Linked DNA regions of Drosophila melanogaster. The protein of the gene in region 2 purifies or fractionates together with the protein of the main gene of each other region. This does not show direct contact. Each region holds a gene or a part of one and is shown on either strand. Other genes may lie near its edges.

Region 1 (3,140 bases), 1.6 Mb from region 2:
GAATCCCGGGTATTCCAGTTGGTCACTTAATTAATTTGTCTTGCCTTTCCATTCACTCAATTCGATTTCAGGTGCAAGAGCTTCAAGACTGCGAAGAGAGGTGAAGTGTGTCGAATTCCCGGATGCACAGTATCGCCAGCAGCCCCAGGAGCTTCAACTCCGACCACCATACGATTACCACACGTGAATCCGGAACTATTCAGGCAGTTCATCTTGTACGTTTACACCGCAAAGGTAAGAAAACTACTTATTAGTAACATCTAACATAATAAAATTATAACCAAAATTCATTTTTCAGTTGGTTCTCCAGGACTCGCAAGTATTTCAAATGATGATATTGGCACAGGATATCGGTGTGGTTGAGCTACGAACTGCCTGCGAGGATCACGTTATATCGACATTGTCGGTGGATAATGCCTGCACATTTTTAACCGCCGTTATGGATATACACGAAAAAGCAGGTTAGTAATATTGAGTAGCTCTTTTAGAAAATCACACCTTTAAAAGTAAGCAATTATGTGAAGTTGCATATTCGCGCCAAAACACTTTATACATTCTACATAATATGCTATGTCAAATGTATTGAGACTAACCATTCTGAAAGTTTTGGTATTTTTTGTACCACATCACATATCGATAAGAAAAAACATATGCACGTTGTGTTATCAGAATCACGTAACACGCAATGCATGTTTTTATTGCATTATCAAACTTTAGATATAACAACTAATCAATAGCTGGCAGATATAGTTAGTCCCAAGCTGCTCCAAAATGCAGAAGCCGATTCGTGTGTTTAGAACTTGGATTGTTCACGTTGTATTCTTTGGCCGTACACCCGAGAAATGAGGTTCCACGAGTCCATAAACCGGTCCATGCACATGGAAATGCATTTCTAAATTGGATATTAATGAAATACTATTTAAATACATATTCTATAGTGCAAAATAAGATATGTATAGCTTGCCTGTTCGGACGAATCGAGGGAAGTTCCCGGCTTATTGACACATTTTTTGAAGCACTTTTCGGTCATTTGCGTGAGCAATTCCTGGGCATTCGCAACAGCAATCTGTTGCTTAACCTGGTCCATAAGTTCACCTTTGTCCACATTAGCCATAGCCATTTGTTTGGTTTTCTTTATAAACTATAGTTTAATTCAGCTATGAATAAATGGCAACAACTTCTGCCCAACCACAAAAACTTAACAGTGCGATTGTGATAGTGTTTCTATCGATATGGTTATGCTACCAGAGGATTTACCATTTTGGTATCTTTAGGCTGGTCGATAGTTCGGTAGGCCGCGATTATGTGTGACCATCTGTGCTGTGCCATCGATATTTCTGCCTATCGCCTGGACGAAAAGAAGACGCCGGCAAAAAGAAGCGAAAATTTGTTTAACTCAAATTAAGTCGTCGGAAATCAGCAAAAATGTCGTTCAAAGGAAATCCCAAGGTGCAGAAGGTGATGGTGCAGCCCATCAACCTGATCTTCCGTTACCTGCAGAACCGGTCCCGCGTGCAAGTTTGGTTATACGAGAACATATCGCTGCGCATCGAGGGCCACATTGTGGGATTCGATGAGTACATGAATCTGGTGCTGGACGACGCCGAGGAAGTCTATGTGAAGACCCGGCAGCGCCGCAACCTCGGGAGGATCATGCTCAAGGGCGACAACATCACGCTCATACAGAACGTCAGTCCCACGAAGGACTAGGCGACTCAGCGGCCATCCTGCGAATCCTTCGAATTCCACCTGCAAACGCTGAACGCCCTTAATATAAGTAAAATAAATGTAAAGCCGATATCTGAAGACGAATGTTGAAATAAATGGTAGACTTTCTGTAATCAAGTGTTTCTAATGGGTAAGGTAGCAAATACGATCCGATTTCAGGACATATAGAATAGGATGCTGTCTCAAGGTAAAAGCCGTTGAGTGTCTTTAAAAAACAAGGAATTAATTTTAAACTTTCCCTTTAAATTTCAGGTGCCAAATGCGCTGCCTCGTTTATGGAACGCTGCATCATCTACATAGGGGAAAATGCAAATGAGTGCGTTAAGACTAATGCCTTCCTTACTTTAACAAAGGATGCCATTATTAAGATTATTTCCTCAGACTATGTAAGAGTTTATAATGAATAACCACTCAATTTACTGAATTTCTTTAATTACCAAAACTGTTAACTACCAATAGTTCTGCTTGGAAGAGGAGGAAGTGTGGCGCTGCGTTTTATCCTGGGCCAAATACCAGGCAGGAGTCACCCAACCCACTGCACATTGGACTGAGGAGGAGCGTGCTCGTGTCTGCCAACACTTAAGCGGTGTAATGGGTCACGTGCGTCTGCTTCTCATCGATAGCCAAGTTTTCGCGGAGGAAGTGGAACCTACAGGAGCTGTACCTATGGAACTATCCCTAGAACGATATCGCTATGCCGCTTTGCATGCCAATAAGATGATGGATAACGATAAGAGACTTCAGCCCCGCCTAGCTGTAGCGGTCAACATGTTTCCCGGATCCCAAATCCTGAAGAATGACAATCTGGCACTACAGACTGTTCTCAATAATTGGGTTGGAGTGGGCAAGCAATCCTGGAGATTAGTTTTCCGAGCGTCCACTCATGGCTACGATTCTGGAGCCTTTCATCGTTATTGCGACGGCGTGGCTCCTTGCATGGTTATTGGCTTGGGATCGCATGGAGAGATCAGTGGTGGTTATACGGATGTGGCGTGGGCCAAAACAAGCCGAAAGGGGGGATATGTTCAGTCCGAGCGAGCCTTCCTCTTTGCCTTGAATCCAGCCAATGGGGAACAGCCGGTCAAGTTTGATATTGTAAAGAAACCATATGCCATTTGCTATCATCCTGAGTAAGTGATGTCTAAAATAATCTTATATATTACATTATGTTTAGGAATTCGTACTGATTACCATGTCTGCTTTCCCCTTTAGTTGCGGTCCCATTTTTGGTGCTGGAGCCGATCTGCTCATTTCCAGCAACTGTAATACAAACATGGACTCATACTCGAATCTTCCGCATTCCTACGACGGAACCAACGCTGCTCACCTGACACTTTTCGGGGACTATAACTTTACCATCACCGACTATGAGGTCTATACCCTTTCCTCGCCGGCAGGAAGTAGTAATAGTG
Region 2 (3,727 bases):
TCAAGTATTAATTATGCCCTATTACTAATCCAGGCGATCATAAGATAGATGTGGTCTCTGGGTCGCCTAACTGCCACATTTTCGGCACTCCAATTGAAATCCAACTTTGCAGCGAATAATTTCAAGTTGTCTAGCTCCGGAGTTTGCCCATTGAGAAAGTTTTCCGGGTGAAACAATAACTGCAGCTGCTCATCACGCCCAACTTCTGTCCCAGACTTCTAGATACCAGAACCCAATCCCACACCCCGCCCATCACCGGTGCCACCTGTCGTGGCGGAGAGCAACAGCTCCTCCTGGTTTTTGGCAGATCCTGGCTTACACCAGGTTGGGGAATTGCAAATAAATATTTCAACTGCAGTTGCAGATTATTTTAGTGCTACGGCAACTGGGAAAGTCGTAACAATGCAGAATGGCAGCAACTAAGGCAAACAGCTAGCCAGGTCCGGAGTAGCTCCTCTGGGGGGCAGCAACTTGGCTTAGATTTCTCCGGGGACCTATGATAAAGTGCTCCCCATAATGAAGACAAAATACGGAGATGCCGAGAGGAGCCAACTTTATGGGGTGTTTTTGGGCAAGGTGCCCGCTATTTATTCAGCCTCGCACAATTTCAATTTGTATCTGCTCGTATCCGTTCGATTACTTTCTGTTCAGATTGTAGTTCCTCAGATAGATGCCAGCGAGAACCTCCTGGATGCGGCGACGTCGCTTGTCCTGCATCAGTATGGAGACCAGATGCTTGGGACTCAATCCCCTGTTGCTCTGGCGATCCATGGCATCGATCTCGTCCTCGCTGATCACGTCCTCCTCGCGATCATCGTCAGCCTGGCTGATTGGTCCATCGGCCAGGGGAATCTCCGCATTTCCATCCTCGGCCGCGTTGACCACCTCGGAATCATCCTCGAAGAGACTTCCATCGGCCAGGTCGTCCAGGTTGAGGCCCTGCAGCAAATCGGAAATGGTGGGCACGAAGGCGCTGCGCCGTGAGCTAGTGGAGTTGGAGCTGTTAGAGCTGGCGGGCAGGTAGATGCCCTGCATGTTGTTGGGGTTGATGATCAGGTAGGTGGGGCCTCCTCCCACAGTGTTCCAGTCCATGCCGGGAAACGGTGGCGGAGGACGGTTTTGAGGTGGTGGTGGTGGGTAGTACGGGTAGTAGGGATAGTTGGGGTTGTGGTGGTGGTGTCTATCCGATTCCTGATTCGAGCTGGGCTGCTGCACTATGATGATGGGCTGCTGGGAGTTGCGGTGGCTCTCCTGGTCGCCGCGCTTGATGTTCCACAGCAGGCGAGGAACGATCTTGGAGAAGGCTGTCCAGAGACGAGTGTTGGATGAGTGTCCTCTGGGTTTTATTCATATTGACTTACCATTTTCCTTTCTGTTCTTGCCGTTGGAGGCCTGCTGGGCTGCACAAAAGGCAACCAGAGTGGCGAGGAGAATCAAGACGCTCAGGGTTCTCATGGTATGTCAATCGATAGCTGCTGGAGATGACTGTGCTCATCCACTGGCTATCTATTGCTATTTATACAAAAGAACTTCTTCTGCTGAAAGTTCAGTGCGAATTTCACAACCTAACTGGGTAACTGGGCATACTCGGAATTTATTCATATCAGCTCGTAAATCAACTTTGGCCCAACGCACTCCTGCCTCACGTTTATTACACTCGTAAAGTGAGTCTTTTGAATGGATTCACGGGTTTTCTTTCGCCCTCGGCCGCTTTCATGATCGATTTAGCACTAAGTAGTCTCCTACAGTTTATTTTAAATGTTTGTACTTTCAGTGCCTCTGGGCGCTAATGTGTTTAGTTTATAGTCGTCGTCGACGTAGATATTTATGATCTGTGTACAAAGGCCGGCAGATTGCCGATCGGATCTTTGCGAACTGAATTAGAGGACATTAGCCCCAACATTTGAATCATTGAACTTGGGAAGAGTTTAGAAAGCCAGTGGTCTCGTTTCCAAAAATATAAATAGATGACTAGTGCTGAGCTCTAGGTATAATAAAAATAAAAGCATGTCTCTCCTCCTACGGATGCCATTTGATTCACCATAATAAACCCATTTCCTGTTTTCGGACTGGGCAAACAGGGCCAATGTTAAAAGAGCAAATACTATCTGAACGAATATCCGTTACCAGAGGCGGTAAAAGTAAAAGTTGAGACCATTTCATCCTGTGCAATCAAAGGCCAAAGACAACAATGAGTCCTGTGTATAGCACACGAGGTAAATATTATTTAAGAAATCAAAACACGTAGCCTACACAAAGTACAAATCGCACTCAATCAAAATCACCTCAAGACCGCACACAGTTCCAAAGCTTCCCAGATGGAATCCCGCCTTTCAGACGGAGCACTTCGAGTAGCAGTCGTAAGTAAAAATAAATAAGAGGCCACAGGACTTCAGCTGGAGCAGAGGGGCATCGGCAAACAGCAACAGGAGCGAAAACAGAGGACCCAAAACCCAGCACAGAAAACTGTCATGTACGAGGATTTAGCAGATTTAAATTCTATTAGGCCGGGCCAGAAAAGCTGAAGGGAGGAAAGTGGGAAAATAGCTGAAGAAAAACTGTGCGCAATCTTTATGCTCCCACAGTCCATGGAAATCACTTTGAGAAACTGACATTTAATATTGACCACAGGCCGTTGGACAAGAGATTCTGTTGGTCGTGCCGTCTGGTCTTCAACTCGTACATATCGGCTTTTCTATGAAATGAATGGAAATTTATTTAGAGCTTTCAATACTGGCTAATAGAGAACTAACTAACTGAGGAGCCAGTGCAGCCTTAAATTAAATTACTTCTCTGTCAATGAGAAGGTCTACAGTATTAATTGCACAACAATTATAGGATAGCTAGTCTGAGTTCTCAGTATTCAGATTTACGTAAGACATTGAAGGTTGTGGTAATATAACTTTTAAATATGCTTTAATTTTTAACTTCTAGCTAACATTATCTAATCAGTATGTATCCTTTGTAGAAAAGAGGTCGTCATCCTCCTTATTATATCCTTTAAAAAGATTTACATCACTTTAAACTCATCAACTCATCATGATGGCCAAGCATTACGCAGCCCCTATTAAAAATGATTTGGGCCAAAGCGGCGTCATTAAATGGACGTTGTGAGATAATTTGGGCCATCAAAGCCTAAAACCCAATGGTGTCCAAGTTGGAGGGTGGTTATCCTTGAGGCCTCGCAGCTCCGGCCACTTAGCCTACATTTGGAACGGCCTGTGTGCAAACATTTATCGATTGCCGTGACAATCCAATTCGTTATGCTGAAATCTACGGGCTTCCACAGGCGGTCAGTCCGCCAGTTTTAGAGGCACTGGAGGAGGGCTTTGTGCGGGGAGCTCTCTGTTCGGGCAAATACAAACGGCTACAAACGGCAAAAGAGACTGCATCTGGCTCAGCAGGATGGAGTCGGCCCCGTGTACCACCTCACTGGCACAAATTTGCATCTGCTCTAGCATTTTTAGGTAAATTGACAGTTAAGACGGAACTGGACCATCCCCAGTTCAAATAGTGGGCGAAGCAAAGCTTTTTGCCGCAGAAGGACGAGTGTTTTTGTGGTGACTTTGCCAATGCGGGGGGACCGAAGAACTCTCTGCTGCGTTTTGAGCTTAATTAAAGTTGTTGTGGTTTCGGCCAGCATCCAGTCGTGTTAATCTCCCTCATGCTCCAATGGCTGCAGATTGGGATAGGTGAAGGATTCCCTAAAATTGCCGGGCAATCTGTT

Evidence for each region.
Region 1: the proteins of CG13983 (region 2) and CG34132 purify together in Drosophila melanogaster (affinity purification with mass spectrometry, with the first as the bait; one large-scale study listed by BioGRID). This does not show direct contact.

Annotation. Positions count from the first base shown.
Region 1 is NT_033779.5:7,883,629-7,886,768, reverse strand, and holds CG34132 (uncharacterized protein), read right to left. Parts: upstream 1,267-3,140; 5' UTR 1,121-1,266; coding exon 965-1,120; intron 893-964; coding exon 794-892; 3' UTR 660-793; downstream 1-659. Other genes in the region: small ribonucleoprotein particle protein SmE, read left to right, coding at 1,426-1,710; CG7102 (uncharacterized protein), read left to right, coding at 72-234, 299-461, 1,981-2,114, 2,188-2,858, 2,941-3,140.
Region 2 is NT_033779.5:6,262,999-6,266,725, forward strand, and holds CG13983 (uncharacterized protein), read right to left. Parts: upstream 1,493-3,727; 5' UTR 1,456-1,492; coding exon 1,362-1,455; intron 1,305-1,361; coding exon 637-1,304; 3' UTR 559-636; downstream 1-558.